Linked DNA regions of Elephas maximus indicus. The protein of the gene in region 2 binds, or shares a complex with, the protein of the main gene of each other region. Links are inferred from orthologs where the notes say so. Each region holds a gene or a part of one and is shown on either strand. Other genes may lie near its edges.

Region 1 (10,111 bases), on a different chromosome or scaffold from region 2:
CAAGAAATTTGAGAAATTATAGCAGGATGTGATTTATTTCAATCTTTGATTCTATTATTTAAATGGAGACATGGCAGTACTTAGGATTCTTATTGAGATTGATGGGTTTTTCCCTTTGGTAAGTTTAAAAATAAAATCCTATCTGTGGCAATGCAATGCCTTATCTGCCACAAGCCCCTTACTATAAGCAAGGAAAGTTACCTTAGCAGGTGTGCTAGCTAAAGCTAGCTGATACTGAATCAATTATTCCATTGGTTGCTTTAAACTTATTATCACGTACAATTTTTTGGAATTAGGTTAAATATTTTCACAGAGAGAACTGGTGACAATCAAATACTATCAGGAAGTGCAATGGTTAAGAGCTCAACTGCTAATTAAAAAAGGTCAGCAGTTCCAATCCTTGGAAACCCTACAGGGGCAGTTCTACTCTGCTCTACAGAGTCACTACAAGTCGGAATTGACAGCAAAGGGTTTAGTTTGGTTTATCAGGAATGGAACCCTTGGTTTGTAACAAAGGAAAGACTGCCACCTATTGAAGGGATGCATCATTTTTCAAGAGGTTTTTCCTATATGGGACAAGAAGGCATCAAGTTCAATGGATTCGCAACTACAATGAAGTCTATTTTAAAAGCATACAATACACCCTGGACTTTTAGTATAAAATTTATTGCTGACTAGGGAAAGTGTTAAATATTGGTATTTATACTAATTTATAACTAATTAACATTAATCATTTAACAAGTTTGCCACCACTCTTAAAATGTAGACTTATCTTTTTTAAAAAAAACTTAAAGGGTCACATTTATCTTATTTGTATACTTCGTTTTTTTCTATGATTCAAAAAATAAATGGGTAATATACTTATTTGTTGCCCTGGTGGCCCAGTGGTTAAGTGTTACACTGCTAACCGAAAGGTCAGCAGTTTGAACCCACCAGCCACTCCTTGGGAGAAAGATGTTGCAGTCTGCTTCCGTGAAGATTACAACCTTAGAAACCCTAGAGGGCAGTTCTACTCTGTCCTACAGGGTCACTGAGTCAGAAGAGACTCCATGGCAGTGGTTTTTTTGATACTTGGTAGCTGCCATTGAGTCAGACCCTGACTCGTGGCCACCTCACGCACAACAGCTTAAAACACTACCTGGTCCTAAGCCATTCCCATGATCAGTTGTAGATCTGGTCGTTGTGATCTGTCTTAGTTATCTAGTGCTGCTAATACAGAAATACCACAAGCGGATGGCTTTAACAAAGAGAAATTTATTCTCTCACAGTCTAGGGTGCTAGAAGTCCAAATTCAGGGTGCCAGCTCCAGGGCAAGGCTTTCTCTCACTGTCAGCTCTGGGGGAAGGTCTTTGTCATCAATCTTCCCCTGGTCTAGGGGCTTTTCCATGCAGGAACCCCAGGTCCAAAGGACTCGCTCTGTTCCCAGTGCTGCTTTCTTGGTGGTATGAGGTCCCCAACTCTCTGCTCACTTCCTTTTTATCTCTTGTAGGATAAAAGGTGATGCAGCCCACACCCCAAGGAAACTCCTTTACATTGGATCAGGGATGTCACCTGAGGAAGAGTGTTACATGCCACCCTAATCCTCTTTAACATAATCTAATCTTGCCTCATTAACCACAGGCAGGGATTAGGATTTACAACACATAGGAAAATCAAACCAGTCACAAAATGGAATGCAACCACACAATACTGGGAATCATGGCCTAACCAAACTGACACACATTTGAGGGGGGGTGCACAATTCAATCCCTGACATGATCTATAGGGTTTTCATTGGCTGATTTTCAGGAGTAGATTGCCAGGTCTTTCTTACTAGTCTGTTTTAGTCTGGAAGCTCCACTGAAATCTATTCAGTATCATAGCAATGCGTAGGCTCCCAGTGCACATGAGGTACACTGACAAGAAATTGAACCTGGGTCTCCTGCACGGAAGGGGAGAATTTTACTACTGAACCACCAATAACAAGGTTCAAAAAACCAAAACAGTATAAAAAGATATGTACTGAAAAATCTCATTCTAATCCACCCTGTTTCTCTCTCACCTCAATAGGCAACCTTTTTTTAAATTTATTTCTCAGTACTTCATTTTGCAAATACTGGCAAACAAGAATGTTACACTTCCTCTTTCACAAAAGGTTGCCACACACAGTTCTGCACCTTGCTTTTTTCCATAACAGCACACACACAGGTTCTTTATTCTTTTTACACTGAGTTGCACAGTACTCAATTTGGTGGATTCACCAGGGTTTGTTTAACCAATCTCCTACTGCTGGATTGTGTTCAATCTTTCACTAGTAAATAAAACAAAAAAATTGAACCAGCTGCTGTTGAATCAATTTCAATTCATGGCAACCCCATGCGTGTCAGAGTAGGACTATACTAAATAAATAACACTGCAAAAAATAACCTGTATGCATGCCATTTCATGTTAACACAAGAGTTTCTATAGGAGGGATTCCCAAGAGTAGGACTACTGAGTCAAAGAGTAAATGCATCTGTAATCTTGGTAGATAATTGCCAAATTCCCTTCAAGAGGGGTTGTGCCATTTAGAGTTTAGCCAAATGGTATCTCAGTATAGTTTTAATTCACTTTTTCCTACTAAGAGGTTGGGCATCTTTTTACACATTTAAGAAACCCTGGTGGCACAATGGTTAAGCACTCGGCTACTGACCAAAAGGTTGGTGGTTCAAACCCACCCAGCAGCTCTGATGAAAAGACCTGGCAATCTGCTCCCATAAAGATCAGAGCTTAGAAAACCCTATGGGGCAGCTCTACGTTGTCACATGGGGTCGCTATGAGTCGATTATCAACTCGGCGGCACCTACAACAAAAACCATTTGTTTTTCTTTTTTCTGTGACCATCCATGTGCTCTATGCATCTTTCTACTGTTAATCTTTTCTAGGAACACATTATACATTATGGAGATCGGTACTTCATGATACGAGTTGCAAATCTTTTTTCCAAGTTTGTCATTTTGTGTTTTGACCTTGCGTATGGGGTTTATTTGGCCATGCAGAAGTTTTCAAATTTTATGTAGTCTTACCAAGCTTTTCTCTTATGGCTCCTAAACTTTAAGTCATAGGAAAAAAGGCTATCCCACTGCAAAGATAAGAAGAAATTCATCCCTCTTTTCTTCTAAACCTTATACGGTTTAAGTTTTAAATATTTAAATCTCAGATCCATTTGGAGTCTATCCAAGTATATAATATTTGAATTCTACTTTTAAAAAAATGGCTACCCAGTTTTCCTAACACTGTTTATTAAAAAGTTCTATTAATTATATTACATATTTCCTTACTGTTTCCTGTACTGTTTCCTTACTTTTTTCTTACACCACCCCTACTTTTGGCCTCTATACCTATTCTTTGAAGCTCAACTGAAATCCTATATATTTCCTGAAAACTGAAGTTTTCTCTTTTTTAAAACACTGACTAAACAGGGAACATAACACTGTATAAATGTAAGAGAATAAAAAACTGGAAATTCAAGAAAGGATGGAACAAAAAGGAAGATTAAAAATATTCAATTCTATTTGATAATCTTCAGCAATACTCTTTTTATATTCATTTCCAAGTCTCTAAAATGACAGTGTTTACCAACTGCAGAACAAATACAAGGCTTTAAAACCTTAAATGTTTGTAATGAAAAATACTAACTGAAGAAATACCAACAACCTAAGAGACCATCAACAGAGAACTTTTAAAAGTAAATAAATTACGGTTCATCCATACAGAGGAATATTACACAGAAGTTGTAAATAGGACGAATGAGATAGATTCAGATATATATCCGGAGTGCTAAGGGACTTTGTTAAGGGGGTCAAGGGAAAGAAACTATTCCCTTTTAAGAGGGAAAAATATTTGTAAATGCATAGATAATCCCTGGAAGAACAGAAAGTGTTAACAGTGGTTGCCTCTGGAGACTGGGACTTGGGGTTGGAGGGAAAGAAAACCGACTTTTATTTCTCATTTTATATCCTTCTGAACCATGAAAAAAAAGCTTTTTACAACTATCACGTGCTACTTTTATAACTACAAAAATTAATGCTAAGCACTAAGGATCTAAATGGATTAGTGTTATTTACATAAAAAAAAGGATAAAAAAGAGCCAAAAGCACGATCACCCTGCCCAGAAGTTACCTGAACAATGGTGAATCCAGATCTAAGAATAATGTCTTGTATCTCCTCCTCTTTGTCAACAATATCTGGTTTGATAATGGCCAGAGTTTTTTCTACATATATCTGAGGTGGGGGCATTGATATCTCCATCTTGGCTTTTCAGAGTAATTTAATAGTTTCTTGACAGGTATCAACTGCAATGACAGTACCCCACCCACCCCAAAATTAATGTAATTGTGATTAAGAATAGCAATATCAGGTGCTTGATTTTCGTTTATAAAGTCCGAAATGGCCATATATTTTTCTATAAGCATTGTTCCAGTGATATTTCTATTCTGCGTCCAGGTCATGCCTTGGGTTTTTGTAAGGCATTCACCGAGAGAAGGACCGAGGGGCTGCCCGAAGGCCTGGGACTGTGGCAGACGCGCGGGGCGGAGGCCAGGGGCGGGAGCGGGAGCAGGGGCATGGAAGGGTGGGCAGCCTCTACTGGCTGGCTGCCTGAAAGAAGCAATTCCTCCCCACAGGGAGGACTGCTTATTTAGAGCCAGGACTGACTGAAAAGCAGGGTCCTCAGGACCCCTCTGGGCTGCACCCACCGGAGGCACTCACCACAGCACCGCACCCAACTCAGTGACCACAAGTTGTTGCTAGGAGACCAGAAGCCCCAGCTCCCGGATGGTGGCTGCAGAGGGCCAATTCTAGCAGTTCTTCCACGCTTGCCTGGTTTCTTTTAACCAAGAAAGGGAACTAGCCCCAGACGTTTTTGTAGGTCTAGCCCTCTGACTTGAGGCTGTAGAAGAAGGACCTCCCGTTCCTGAAGGCTTTCCACTGCTGCCTGCCTTCCTGTACTACTTCACTTCACAACTTATTAGTGCTGGACCTACTGAGGCTCAGGGCTTTCCAAACCAGTAGGCACAATGTCAGTCCTTCAGGGCCTTGAATCACCCCTAAACACAAACTCTGGGAACACAAGGTCATCTCAGTATCATCCTTATTTTCAAAGACTCAGAAATCAGATTCCAGAGGCTATACTCCTTTTTTCCTGCAGTTCTCCACATACAGTACTTGAATCTGTTCCAAGAGCACTACACTTTTTGGGTTTTTTTTTTTTTTTTTTGCTGTTGTTTTTACATTTTCTTCATAATTATCTTATTTCTTCTTCCTACTTATTTGAGGGATGCTTCAATTATTCTAACTTTACAAATGAGGAAGAGCGCTGGTGGTGCAGTGGTTATGAGCTCGGCAGTTAACTGCCACAAGAGAAAGATGTGGCAGTCTGCTCCCGTAAAGATTATAGCCTTGGAAACCCCATGGGATAGTTCTACTCTGTCCTACAGAGTCACTATGAGTCGGAATCAACTCAACAGGTTGGTTTGTTTGTTTTTTGGTTTTACAAATGAGAAGACAAATCAAAGATCTCCCCCAACCCCACCCCACCCCGTTCCAGACAGTATATGTAAGAAAACCCCTATCAAGTATCTTCTTCATTTCACAGACTGTGCTATCCTCTTTATCCTGGTTTCTTTAATCATTAAAATAGTCTGAGGTTTGTGAAATAACATTTATTTATAGATCAGCAATAACAGGCTTAATCTAGTTACCTCTAAATTAAGCTTGTAGAACAAAGTTGTAGGCAACAATTGTGGCATAAACCCAAATTTCAGCTTTCCTCTTTTCTTTATAGTATGTTCACAGGCATCTTTGACTCCTTGGTAATGAGTTAAAGGTCTTAATTTTATTAGAAAAGAAAATGGAGAAGTGGTAAACAACTACTGAAATCTTCTCTGGATCAGAGTCTTAAGAAGAGGTCCAAACTCCAGAAGAGATCAGGGTAGCAGCTCCAGGTTAACAAAATAGGTTTCCCATCATCCACCAGGTTGGTTGGTTGTCATTCCAGACTACTTAGATCTCTTCTTTTATCTAACCAAATACTCAGCACCTACAGGGTCAAGGCACAGAGAGCAAGCTATGAATCTTAAAAGCTACAGAGATTTAAATGCAATTTATTTCTTCTTCTGCATATAAATTTGACTGTACTTCTTTCTTTAAAGTATGATGCTGCCCAGAAAGAAATTCTCAAATGTCCTCATCTGGCTACTATGTCTTATCTGCTAAAGATGGGACAGTGTGAAAGTACATTAATATCAACAGATGTAGTAATCCAAAAATGGCCAGTGACTCTAGCCGCTGGTTTACACATCTACGCCTCTGACTTGAGGCTCTAGATGCAGGATCTCCCATTACTTATCTATCCCCAGCTCTCCTGAGAGCTCTTCGCTGCTGCCTGCCTTTCTGGACTACTTCACTTGCTAATTTATTAGAGCTCGGGGTGTTCCAAGTCAGTATGCACAATGTCAATCCTTCCTTCAGGGCCCTGATTTATCCCTAAAGATAAATAAACTCTGGGAACACCAGGTCATCTCAGTATCAACCTTATTCTCAAAGACTTTCTGAAATTAGATTCCAGAGGCTATATTCCTTTTTCCTGCAGTTCTCTAAATATAGTACCTGAATCTGTTCCAAGACTTCTCGCTGCATCTCCACAGCCATGTGGTACACATGATGGTCAGAGTCATTGTACATCACAGCATTTTGGAACATCAGCATCAGATCCCGCTGAAACTGGGCCATGGTGCGAATCTGTCCCTTAGACAGATTTCTCTTCAAGCTAGTTAAGTCCATGGGTCTGCAGGTGGCCAAGAGAAACCAGGGGAAATCAAACATTCATGTGGAATATGTGGAACCTAACATGTTCTCTTGGAGAACTAACCAGCTCTTAATGAATAATAGTAAAAATAACAAACCCACCAGATAATAAAATAACAACAGCAGCTAATATTTGACTGCTTTCAAGAGACCAAGCATTATGCTAGGCGCTTTATATATTAACTCAATCTTCTCAATAAACTTATAAGGTAAGTATTATCCCCACTTGACAGATGAAACTGAGATCTAAAGAGGTTAAGTACTTGTCCAAAGTCACATAGCCTGGATTCCAGTTCAAAGGCAGCCTGACTCCAGAACCCACAAGCCCAGGCGTTTCACTCAACTATCATAGCAGAATGGAGCCCTGGCGGTGCACGTGGCTGCTAACCAGAAGCTTGGTGGTTCAAACCCATCTCGTGGCTCTGCAGAAGAGAAGCCCTGGCAATCTGCTGCCATAAAGATTATAGCCAAGGAAACCCTATGAGGCAGTTCTTCTCTGTTATGTATGGTCGCTGTGAGTCAGAATCAATGGCACACAACAACAACAGCATCACAGCAGGAAAGCTAGCCCTAGGTACCAAAGCTGTAAAGAATCCGATGGTCAGTTTGTCACATACTAGTTACTGACTGACTGTTTACAATGTACAATCTTATACTAGGTAATTAATCTACTTTTATTATTGTATAAATCAAAGCTAATTTTTTTTTCTCCTTTCATGGGAGTAAAAAGAATGAGAATCAGGTAAATAAGATAAATTATTATTCAATGAGGCAGAGATAGTGGGTATGTAAGAGAAGGCACAACAGTGTAGAAAGAGGACTAAACTGGGAGGTAAGAATTTGGGGTTTAGTTCTAGCTCTGCTATTAACTATAAGTCAGGACCACCTCTAAGCCTTAGTTTCCTTACATTTAATATGAAGTGTTTTTTTCCAAAGGTCCCTTTCTGATCTTCTATACTCTATTAATAAACACACTGGTTTACAACAGTGCTTTAAATATACTATGCTATCAAAATTCAAAATACTGCAAACAACCAGTGTTAGTAACATCCCTTTGGATTACCGTATCTGCCTTAGAATACTTATATAACTGCCTGGTCATACAGCTTTCCTTTTCAAGTTCTGCTCCAAAAGAACACTATCAAAATCTACCAAAGGCTAATGGTGAGATTATAATAAATGGATCATATTACTTAAAAATATGGGGGAAAAAAAACTCCAAAAAACAAAAATTAGAGTATCCTTTTGTTCCCTTCATTCCTTCTCAAATGAAAAGACCAAGCTAACCATAACTTTACGTTTTTAGCTGAAGTAAAGAAATTATCTAATAGATGAGAAATGAAGAATGAAAAGACACTATCCAAGGCACAACAATTGGTCTCTATTCACCTGGAAAAACACAGAAAGAAGGAAAGTCAGGAGTAGGAGGAAGAAACGGAATGTGCAGCTAACTGCCTCCATGCACAACTGCCTCCTTTGCCATGAGACCAGAAGAACTGGATGGTGCCTGGCTACCATTACTGAACGTTTTGATCTAATATCCTATAGAAGAATCCTGATCAAAATGCAGAACAGAATTTCAAATTCTCATGGAATCCATACTTTCTGGAGCCATTGAGGCTAGATGAACTCCTGAAACTATCGCCCGGAGATAATAGTTAAACCTTAAACCAAAAATATCCCCTGAAGTCTTCTTAAAACCAAATGATAGTTTAGCTTAACTAGTAAAGAATGTCTGCCTTGAACCTTATGCTCTTTTGAGATCTATCTATATGGGTTCAAACTGATAACAGCAACTTGAAAGATCAGATAGGAACCTTAGACGGCAGTGCGTTTATGTTACTGGGGGAGGAACAACTCAGAAAAGGAGAGTGAGAATGATTGCACAGCTTGAAGACTATAATCACTGTCACTGAATTATACATGCAGAAACTTGAACTGGTGTATGTTTTTGCTGTGTATATTCTCAACAGCAGTGACAACAAAATAACTTAAAAAAAAAAAAGGAATTAAAAGACAGATATAAAAGCAACCAACCTTTCTTGACCCCTTTTCCACTGACCTTTTCACCACATCTTTGTATCCTGGGGCCTGCCTATCTGACACAGGCTTCAGAAATGGACTGCTGAACCTGGTAAGAGACAAATCCAGAGAGGATGAAGAAACTCTGGCAAGTTATTCTGAATAAGAAGAGCAGCTATGAACTAGAAGACAATATTTAACCTACAGAGTGTGGATCACTTCTTATAAGACTTTCCTTAGGGAAATGCAGACTGAGTGCCATTATGGAAGACTATTAGTTTATTCTTGCTGAACAGAAAAAGAATTTAAAAAAAAAAAAGTATAAAATATTTAACTACAATTCTAATATACTGATTAAACGCTCAGAAATTTGTTGAAGGCCCTGAGGCCCTATGTCTGTGGAAAAGGAGGCGCCACCATATTGGAAGGAAGCATATATTTTAAATACTAATTTTATCATGTAATAGGAACCAATTTCTATAGGCAACTCAAATGACACAGCAACTATATCTTATACAGACCTGTGAAAGCAGCTGTGAGGACTTATGGATAAAACAGGCTTAGATATAGGATTTGCCTCTATCTAAGCCTATCATATGGATCATATGATGGGATGAACACATCTTCTTTTATGCTTAATCCCAAATCTGTGTCACCGATTCAGCTCTGAACATAATCCCATCACCGCTCTGGATACCTACCTGTGACTGGCAATCATCTTCCAGACTGGCAGGAGAGTCTTCTTAAATAGTAAATGATCCTGAACAGGATCATTCTGGCCTAGGTCAGACCTATGGGACAAAACATGACAGAAAAGAGATAGTAACTTCATAAATGGTATTCTACCTCCCCCAGGTGTGAGGTTTTCTCAAGCCATAGTAGGAAAAAATATCCTGAAAAAATAGAACACCATAGGAACAAAAATATGTTTAATACTTCTAAAAGGGATCCCAAGCTCAATAAATATTCTCTTACCTATTACTGTTATTCAGTGAAATGGTTACTTTCTTATAATGTAAACTACAATACTACAATTGTCTGTGTCTTTTCAACTCTTGTTGATTTGCTCTTCAGCACCTGTGACTGACCCGGTGCATGAAGGTAGTCTTTGTCCACTGATGCTTCCCAAGTACCTGTAACAGTAAGTGCCTGGCACATATTAGATGCTTAATATGTATTTGATGAATGAATCTGGTCTTGTTTTTATGCAGGAATATGCCACATTGGCAAGTATCTTTCCCATATTTCCAGAGAAGGAAATACT
Region 2 (10,178 bases):
TTGGTTAGCAGCCAAACTCTTAACCACTATGCCAGCTAAAACAGCAGGCATGCTGAAATCTTATGTAACCCACGCTAGGTTCCCAGGTTTCCCAGCACTAGTGACACCAAATCTGAAGGTGACCAATAGCAAGGAAACGTTTTCAATCCACTTCATGAGCCAATCAGAAATCAAAATTTAGAATTTCATCTTATTTGATGTACCTTCACCTCTTTCTACCACTCGTCTGTCAGTTTATCTTACTGTGGTGGCTTGTGTGTTGCTGTGATGCTGGAAGCTATGCCATCAGTATTTCAAATATCAGTAGGGTCACCCATGGTGGACAGGTTTCAGTGGAGCTTCCAGACTAAGAAAGACTAGCAAGAAGGACTGGTGATTTACTTCTAAAAAACTGGCCGTTGAAAACCTTGTGAACAGCAGCAGGACACTGTCTGAAGAATGACGTATTGCACTGGGCAAAACTGCTGCAAAAGACCTCTTTAAAGTGTTAAAAAGCAAAGAAGTCACTTTGAAGACTAAGGTGTGCCTGACCCAAGCCATGGTATTTTTAATTACCTCATATGCATTTGAAAGCTCGACAACGAATAAGGAAGACCAAGAAGAATTGATGCCTTTGAATTACAGTGGTGGGGAAGAATACTGAATATACCATGGACTACAAGAAGAACGAACAAATCTGTCTTGGAGGAAGTATAGCCAGAATGTTCCTAAGAAGCGAGGACAGGACAGCAAGACTTTGTTTCACGTACTCTGGACATGTTATCGGCAGAGATCAGTCATTGGGGAAGGACATCATGCTTTGTAAAGTAGAGGGTCAATGAAAAAGAGGAAGACCCTCAATGAGATGGATTGACACAGTGGCTGCAACAATGGGCTCAAACATAGCAACAATTGTGAGGATGGCAAAGGACTGGGCAATGTTTCCTTCTGTTGTACATAAGGTAGCTATGAGTCAGACCCAACTCAGTTCTGACCTGCAGCTAACAACAACATAACGACCACCTGTTTGCCTTCATCTAGCCTTTTCATCTTTTACTTGGAGAGTAACTTGCACCTGAATGTCATGGCTCTCCCTTGCCAGGTAAGCAAATTCACTGTTGTTTTCGATTACTGTTTGATTCTCTTTATTTTTTTCTAACAAAGGGAATCAATTTCCATAACTACAACTTGCATATAAACTCTTTCCTAACACCGAGAACTTGCACTTGGTCCAGGCATCGTGCTAGCTCTCATTTCCCATTTTTCCTTACAATTACTTTTGTCTCACACCTGGCAAAGGAATGACATGCCTTTTACTCATCCAAATATTATTAAGGAATATTGCTACAGGGTTTAAACCTCCTGAGTGTAATAAAAAATACAAGGGGACAATTCAAAATATTGGCACGAGCAAAGTATTCTTTAGTAAAGGCACCATAAAACAAGGGTGGCATTTCATTTTGGGGTCTCTCTCTGCCTTACATATATTTCTGTTAACAGTGAAGCATGTGTTAGAAAAGGGCTAGAGTGGGTGGCAAGGTGAGGGCAACTTCTATTAAATGACCTCATCTCTCCCATCCTCCAATTATTGTTCAAAGACTGTATCATCCCAGAGGGAGAGGTCCCTTGGACTATGTCAAATAATGGCGTGAAACCATCTTTCTTTTGATTTAATATATTTATAAAACATCCAGACTTCAAAAATAAATCTTAACTGTTATTAGGAAAGTTGAGCATATTAGTATAAATGTACATAAGCTTGTAACGTTTTCACATCTTAAAAAAAGTTGGGTTTGGAAATCCTAACCAAAAGGTCAGCAGTTTGAATCCACCAAGTGCTCCTTGGAAACTCTGTGGGGCAGTTCTACTCTGTCCTATAGGGTCGCTATGAGTCAGAACAGATTCGACAGCAATGGGCACTGGGTTATACAACTAGCATTGCTTATGCAAAAGCTAGTGAATTGTACAGACTGCATTAAAGATTTCAGTTCATAGGACATAGTGATAGTTAAAATGATCTCAGGTATCAAGTCCAAAATTGCAATTAAGTCAATTCCCTATTCAGGTGTACTTTGTAGAATGCATAAAATGACCCAAGACACTGTTCAGGAGATTGTGCCATAAAACTGTGGAAAATAAAAGATATGCTAGTCCACAATTATTTCCAATTATTTCAACATTACAGCTTCATAGAGGAGGCATCTGTGGCTTGGTGCAAAAGTAAGTACGTGCAAAAGTAAGTAGCACACAATGAACAAAATACATATATAAATAGCTTGCATGAAATAAAATATCTGAACTATACACTGATAACCATATTTGGTTTCTGAAAAATATTAAACAAATTTTTAAAAGAAGGCAAAGCATCTTGTATGAAGCTATATTTTTCCAGGTGAAGTTATTAGATTTCTTAAAAATCTAATTTTTTAAACTAATAACATCAATGGTATTTCCTGGAACCTAAAATGGAACTGCCCTTTAAGATTTCTTTTTCATAGACAGGGATTGTAAGATTGATTTACAGGTAAGTATGTAACTACAGAGCAAAAGGCGGGCTACTGGGAGGCTCACGTGCACTGGACTGCGGCAGGCTACTTGTTGACGTCCTGGTCTCCATTTGTGTGATGTCTGTGCCCAGTGCTCATTTCCTCCTTCCTACCTTGTGATCCTTTTCATCTTTCTGTTGAATTTGATACTCTCCTTGTTTCACCATTTCTGCCATTTCTGTTTCCTGAAGACTCTTGTCATACTCCTCTTTCAGCTGGGTCTTCTCTTGCATGCTCTAGGTGATGTGACAGAGCTGAATCAGTTCAGTACCCAGGTGGCAAGTACAAAAGAGCCCGCCCTCCTTGCTGACAGACCTCAGCCCTTCATGCCTGCCCAGCTCGCTCCTATAACTAGCTTTATTCTCCTAGTAGCTCTAAATCCATCAACTCCACAGCATCCTTGGGTTGGATTCTCTCTGCAGCCCCCAGACTATCCACACTTCTGGGCCCAAGCCAAGAAACTCCCCAGGCAAGCTCCAGAATTACTCTAGAGAAAGCTGGAAGCCCCCCAAAGGAGAGCCAGTGCACATACATACCTCTTCTTTTGCCTTTGTGGTTTTCCGATAATGATAAAGCCAGTGAGCCAAGTACTCTATTGGGTCACTGGGCCGAACCTTTGCCACCTCTGCCAGTGCCTGGGCCAGGCAATTTCCAAAGCATCTCTTCAGGTACCCCGTTTCCATTCTGTGGGGCCTGGGAAAAAATCCAAGCAGAGTCCCACTGTTGGTTTAAGAAATGGACACATTCTAACCAACTCATGATTCATTTCAGGATAAATATGAGATGTTTCTGGATTCCACCCTGCCCCAGAAGAGCCAACAAAGGAGACTTGCCAGTAGCTCTTATCTTCAAGTGAGCTTTTTCCTAATGCTCTCCAGCAAACAAAAGGTTCTAGGGGGTCATCAGGCCTCAGAGGAAATACATTGATGGTTAGGGATGGCTACAGGCCTCCACTTACACACTTACACCCTTGGGTTAGGGAGCCGTGGTTTTGTGACACTGGAACCCACAGTCACCTATGACCTAGATCCAAACCCGAACCCACTGCCCTTGAGTCAATTCTGACTCACAGTAACCCTACGGGGCTGAGTAGAACTGCCCCATAGGGTTTCCAAGAGTGTAAATCTTTATGGAAGTAGACTGTCATATCTTTTTCCTGCAGAGAAGCTGGTGGGCTTGAGCCACTGACCTTTAAGTTTGCAGCTGAGTGCTTTAACCACTGCACCACCAGGGCTCCTATGACACAGATAAAACCCACAGATACAAAGGCTTATTTATTTCACAAGAAGCCTAGGGCAGGAGGAGGCAAACTAACAGGCCCTGCAGCTACTGCTGGTCAAGGGCGCTGCCACACCTAATACTATACTCCACTTTCTACTACTTAAGCAGAAAACTACTTTATTTACTTTTGATTTACTTGCCCTTTGATTTACTTTTAATCAGATTTCGAGAGCTGGAGGTAATGTAGCCTGGGTCATACTGGCTTCCAACCAGTTCGTTCAGGCCCCAGGTATACGATTCAGAATCCACATTTTAACAAGATCCCCTGGTGATTCTTATGTATAATAAGCTTTGAGAACCACAGCTCTACTAGTGGCTCTTAGAACTGGCCCCTAACCAGCAGCTTTAGCATCACCTGGGAACTTGTAAAGAATGCAAACTCTCAGCAGGGGTTCCGTCCCAACCAATAGGTTCAAAGACCTGTAACACCATACGTTTACGAGGCAGTATACGGTGGCAGTATGAACGTAGACTGTGGAACCAGACCAAGTTCCAGTCCTGGTTCTCCTGTGATCTTCAGCAAGTCAGTTTATCTGAGCTCCCGCTTCCTCATCTGTAAAAGAGAAATAACAAATGTACCTCAAAAATTGAGAGGATCAAAAGAGATAATACATGGTGACTAGTACATAAAATCAAACCAGTTGCCGTGGAGTTGACTACCTGGAGAAAGCACTTACCCTAAGCAGGCGCCCCTCCCTGCTTCTCCCGGAGCCCACCAACCCTTCCTCTCCCAGAATCCCTCAGCTCACTTCCTCTGCTCCTCCGACGCTCCTCACAGTGTCTATGCCGCATCCCTCCACCCCGCGCGCGCTCGCGTGCGCACCGCCTCCTCTTTATGTCGTGCTCCTCGCCCTTTCGCGCGCTCCTGGGCTCACCCACCCGCGCGCTTCTCCTCTCTGTGGCGCGCTCCCTTTGGCTTCTGGGGTGCGCGAGTTTGCTGCCTAGCGACGGGACGCGGATAGCCGGCAGGAGTTCGGCGCGTGCGTGCGGCGTGCGCATCGAGAACGCAGGCGCAGTGGTCCGAGAAAGGTTCGTCCCACTTTCCTTGGGTCGCAGCGGGCAGAGGCGGTTCTGACAGACGTTGCTAGGAGCCTAGGGCTAAGGGGGCGCCCAAAGGCCATGTGAGGGTTAGCTCCGCACCTGGGGTCCCGTTTGCCAGCTGCTCTTCCTCCTCCTCCTCTTCCTCCCTCGTCCTCGGGGAGCGCGCCTTGTGTAGGGATTTGCCAGATAAAACACCGGACGCCCAATTAAATTTGAACTTCAGATAGACAACGAAAAACATTTCAGTACCCTGGTGGCGCAGTGATTAAGAGCTCGGCTGCTAACCAAAAGGTCGACAGTTGGAATGCACCAGCCACTCTTTGGAAACCCTGTGGGGCAGCTCTACTCTGTGCTATAGGGTAGCTATGAGTCGGAATTCGACTGGACGGAAATGGATATAGTGTAATACAAAATTATTCGCTGTTTAGCTGACATTCAAATTTCACTGGGTGTCCTGTATTTTTATTTGCTTAATCTGGCAGCCCTACCTGGATCTGTCTCCCTGGTTTGGGCGAGGCATCTCAGTCTGTCTCTTGTGGCACCTTCTCCAGATTTGAGGCGGCTGTTTCTGTGGGAAGGGGCTTTCTTCTTTTGATCCAAGATGCTGCCTATTGGTGTATATGAAAAATAGCATTCCTTTCAACAACTCTGTGAAATGGGTACTATCACCATTTCGTGGACAGGGAACAGATGCCAAGTGAGGTGACGAGCCCCGCCCAAGTCCCACTGATGATGGGCTGCAGCACACCGTGGACCCGTTCCTACTCTTAATCTCCCGCATTAGGGACCCTGCCCCCTTCCCGCGTGTTTTATTTTTGAGGAGCAGCGGCAGGAGGCCCTTCCCTCTTTTATGTTACTCCACTTCAAATGAAGTTGAGATATCTTTGTAGTTTCTTCTGTTTTTAGAGAAGTACAGTGAAGATACTGTGTTCCAAAGTCAGCTGTAATCTTTTCCCTGTGTGGTTAGGACACCAGTGCCAACCTGATGGGGAGTTAGGTTCATTTGTACCAGTTTGCTTTTGGTCTGTAGAGTTTTTAATTTTTACACACACGGCATTCCTTTCTCACTGCTGTTGCTAATACAAAGGATGGCATGCTATATATACTTGCTGCACCTTGCTTTGTTAATGTCCTGAATGTCCCTCCCTGTTTTAGAGGTCTTCCTCATTCTTTTACATCTGCATAGTAATTGATGGTGTTGCTGTGTATCATCGATCTCCTGTTGATGAATAATTGAGTAGTTTCCCAGTCTTTGGCTATTCTAAGCAGTGGTGCAAAATAACCTCGTGCATATGTCGTTTCGTATTTTTACAGGTGTATCTTTGAGCTAGGATCTTTGAGCTAGGATCCCAGAGTGAGATTGTGGGGTCGCAGAGAAGACATGTGTAGAGTCTGCCAAATTCCCCCCATACCATTTTGCACTCCCATCAGCATTGCATGAGAGAAGAGCAGTATTGGGGGTCTATGCATAGATCTCAGGATGTCAGTGTTTCTGAGATCTTAATATAAAATGTCAGGTGCATTGGACTAGGAGCAGGATGTGGACAGCCTGGCACTCTGTCCCCATGCCTGTACACTAACTCCTATACCACGCCTTTTCTCTTACCTGGAAGGCTCTGCCTTCTCTTTGCTGTGTTGACCGCATGCTCACTCCTATACCAGCGCCTTTTCCCATACCTGGAAGGCTGTTGCTTCTCCTTGCTGGGATGACTTTTACTGTTCCTTCAAATCTTAGTTTGAACATCACCCCTCAGGAAAGCTCTCCTTGACTTTTCCAACTGGGTCAAATCCTCCTGTTATCTGGTTTGCATAGTACTCATGACAATTTCAATTTTACATTCATTTATTGATGTTAATATTTGATTAATGTTTGTCTTCCCTACTCACCTGTAAGCTCCATGAGGGCAGAGACTGTGTTTTGTATTCCCAGCATCTGTCAAGGTGCCTCAGTTTGTATTTGTTGAATACAAACACACACAAAAAAGCCATTGCTGTCAAGTTGATTCTGACCCATGATAACCCTATGTGGTGCAGAGTAGAATTGCTCCATAGGGTTTTCTTGGCTGTAGTGTTTATGGAAGCAGATCACCAGGCCTTTCTTCTGTGGTGCCACTGGGTGGGTTTGAACTGCCAACCTTTTGATTAGTAGCTGAGTGCAAACCATTTGTGCCACCCAGGGACCATATTGTTGATAGGCATTCAGTATATATTTGTTGAATAATGAACACATTTCATCAGCTTTTTCGAGGAGTCTAAATTCCATAAAAGGGCATGACCAGCAGAGATGCAGGGTGTTCAGGACATGTCGGGGCAGCAGAGAGATCTGGAGGCGCCTGAAAGGAGAATTGGGGCCAGATGGTCAGGAGTCTATTAAGCTGTTATTTGAGGACTGGCCATGGAGAGTCATGGAATTTTTTTTTTAAGAGGTGGAATATTGTGATGTTTTATAAAAATGGCTCTCATGGCTTGGAATCAGCATCTTAGTTCAGTCAGAGTGAGGGCTCTGGAATCAAGAGTTGCGTACTGCAGTAAGCAAGGGTCAAAGTGAGCAAATTCCACCTTCTCTGCTAACTGCATGGTAAGGATCAGCATGAATCCAACCCCCAAATTGTGGAAATGGATCTAGTCCTCACCTTCCCACTTCCCCATCCTCATTGCATGCCAGCCACCCAAGTGGCACACGCTCTCTTCAACCCTACCCACCCAGGGGTAGGTCAGAGCTCAAGTCAAATGGACACCGTCCTTCAGACCAGCAGCCTTCTCATATACCTATCCACCCAAAGCTAGATTAGACCCCACAATTTAGACACTGTCCTTCATATAGGCGGATGCCAGCCCCTGCTGGTTCTCACTGCCCCTGTGGATTTGTTAATTTGCTGGAATGACTCAAAGAATCTTATGGTGAGTGTACCATACTTAAAACTACAGATTTACTACAACCAAAAAGGATACAAATGAAGAGACGCATAAGGTGAGGTCTGGTGGAGGTGGAGTGTCACAAAGTGAAGATTCCATGTCCCAAAGAGGAAGCGTTACCCTCTCTCATGCATGGTCACCAACCAGGAAGCTCATCTGAGCCTTTCAGTTCAGGACACTTATCAGCCTCCACTAGTGGCCATGATAGATTGTTTCATCCCTCCTGAGGCTTAGTCAACATCAGACCCCCAGATGGCCCCTCTTGGTCTGCTCAGACCCCACTCATTAGCCTCAGGTGTGGTCCAGCTCTCAAGAACCCAGAACAAAAGCCAAATTGCAAGGTGGTTCTACATCTTGCAGGTACAAATCTCACCTCCACTATGTGCCAGCTCTTCGATCCCGAACTGTTGAATTAAGCTCTTTGTGCCTGGGTTTCCTCATCTGCACAATGGGGATAATGAGACCCACTTTTCAGATAAGTTGTAGGGATTAAGTGAGACAGTGCGTTGCTTGGTATACAGTCTTCTTGCAATAAATAATAATTGCAATAGTAATAATCAGTATCCCTTTTCTCTCTCTGGGGCTTGAGGGCTCATCAGGATTTTGAAAATATTTTAGTTGTAGTGACTTCTGTAGAAGCTTTTTGGAAACTCTTAGAAGTTTCCTGGGGCCAGCATGCTTGTAACATCTCTGATGGTAGGCATCAATGACTGGTGATAGGGTATAATACATTGTTGGCCTGCTGGACTTTACTATTGTTGTTAGGTGCCGTCTCAAGTCAGTTCCGACTCATAGGGACCCTAGGTACAATAGAACAAAACACTGCCTGGTTCTGCACCATTCTCACAATTGTTATGCTTGAATTCATTGTTGCACCCACTGTGTCAGTCAATCTCATTGAAGGTCTTCCTCTTTTTCTCTGATCCTCTGCTTTACCAAGCGTGATGTCCTTCTCCAGGGATTGATTTTTGCTGATAACATGTCCAAAATATGTAAGACGTAGTCTCACCATCCTTGCTTCTAAGGAGCATTCTGGTTGTACTTCTTTCAAGACAGATTTGTTTGTTCTTTTGACAGTCCATGGTATTTCAATATTCTTTGCCAAGATTTCTTTGGCCAATTCTTCTTTGGCCTTCCTTATTTATCATCCAGATTTTGCATCCATATAAGGCGATTGAAAATGCCATGGCTTGGGTCAGGTGCACCTTAGTGTTCAAGGTGACATTTTTGGTTTTCAACATTTTAAAGAGGTCTTTTTTAATAGATTTGCCCAATGCAGTGTGTCTTTTGATTTCTTGACTGCTGCTTCCATGGGCTTGATTGTCTTACTGTGCCTTAATTGGAGCCCTGGTGGCGCAGTGGTTAAAGCAATTGACTGCTAACTAAAAGGTCGGAGGTTTGAAACCACCAGCAACTCCGAGGGAGAAATATGTGGCAATCCTCTTCCATAGCGATTTACAGTCTTGGGAACACTGTGGGGTTACTGTAAGTCAGAATCGGCTTGACCAGGTGGTTTTTTTTTTTTTTTTTTTGGTTTGGTGCCTTAATCGGAAATTTCCTGCACTGATTCAAAACATTTATTTTTTTAGGCATTTATATTTAGGAGTTAGAAATGGAGTCACTCTATCTTCAGAAACACCTTGGGACATGTCTAACTCAGGGTCTTGCAGAAGTGGCAAGAATTCGCCCAGTGGATCCAATAGAGTATTTGGCATTGTGGATTTACAAGTATAAGGAAAATGTGACCATGGAACAAATGGTAAGTATTGCTTTCCTTTTAGAAAATTAGAAGAGTAAAATAATTGGTCCAATTTGTCTGCTTTTTTTAAAGTTCAGTATTTTTTCTTCTTTCCATTATAAAAATAATATATTCATTATACAAAAACTTAGACAACATGAAAAACAAAAACAATACCCAAAGAAGACCTCTATTTATATTTTTATGTATTTTCATTTATTCTTTTTTCCACACATTTGTCTGTAGATTTTTTTACATACTTGTGATCATACTCAATGTATAATTTTAATTTTATGCTTCGCTCAAATAAAATAACATCTTCCCAAGTAATTATAGATTTTCCAGATTAATAGACTATAATTTGCTTAACTCTTTCCCTATTGTTGGTAACTTAAATGATTTCAAAAATGTTTTTACAAACTGTTTTTTCTCTTATTAATCATATGATATTGCTTTTAAACAATGCTAGAAAGAAAAGGAAATGGCCGAGTTGGAGCGTGAAAGAGAGTTAGCTCTTTTGGAACAGGAGATGATGGAGAGGCTCAAAGCAGAGGAGCTCATGTTTCAGCAGGTGAGACAAGTAAGATGAGTTCACAGGTGTCTGTGGAATTAGGGCTTTCAGCCTTGTGTGATACACTGAAACTTTGAAAGACTACCTGTCCCTGGTTACTTGCTTA

The links. The genes of interacting proteins can lie anywhere in the genome.
Region 1: the proteins of DYDC2 (region 2) and NME5 are in contact, whole or in part, in a cryo-EM structure (PDB 8X2U), measured with the Mus musculus proteins. The link is inferred for Elephas maximus indicus from reciprocal best matches to the Homo sapiens genes DYDC2 and NME5. Residues at the interface, in NP_001347537.1 of Mus musculus: Asp2, Tyr5, Leu6, Cys9, Phe10, Gly13, Leu14, Leu18, Val21, Ala22, Arg23, Val24, Arg25, Pro26, Asp28, Pro29, Ile30, Glu31, Leu33, Ala34, His35, Leu37, Tyr38, Tyr40, Arg41; in NP_542368.2 of Mus musculus: Arg140, Ala145, Val146, Ile147, Ile151, Pro152, Ala156, Ala157, Tyr160, Ile161, Tyr164, Val165, Thr168, Leu169, Leu173, Leu176, Cys177, Lys180, Pro181, Asp183, Pro184, Tyr185, Leu186, Leu188, Ala189, Asp190, Leu192, Met193, Asn196, Pro197.

The regions. Positions count from the first base shown.
Region 1 is NC_064820.1:151,199,024-151,209,134, forward strand, and holds the start of NME5 (nucleoside diphosphate kinase homolog 5), read right to left. Parts: upstream 4,753-10,111; 5' UTR 4,729-4,752; intron 4,684-4,728; exon of another isoform or gene 4,314-4,683; 5' UTR 4,270-4,313; coding exon 4,141-4,269; intron 1-4,140. Other genes in the region: bromodomain-containing protein 8-like, read right to left, coding at 6,008-6,058, 6,628-6,805, 8,888-8,956, 9,549-9,638. UniProt on the Homo sapiens protein: Functions as part of axonemal radial spoke complexes that play an important part in the motility of sperm and cilia. Does not seem to have nucleoside diphosphate kinase (NDPK) activity.
Region 2 is NC_064826.1:131,929,980-131,940,157, forward strand, and holds the start of DYDC2 (DPY30 domain-containing protein 2), read right to left. Parts: upstream 4,735-10,178; 5' UTR 4,556-4,734; intron 4,360-4,555; 5' UTR 4,239-4,359; coding exon 4,162-4,238; intron 3,219-4,161; coding exon 3,062-3,218; intron 2,762-3,061; coding exon 2,639-2,761; intron 1-2,638. Other genes in the region: DYDC1 (DPY30 domain-containing protein 1), read left to right, coding at 9,376-9,522, 9,971-10,072.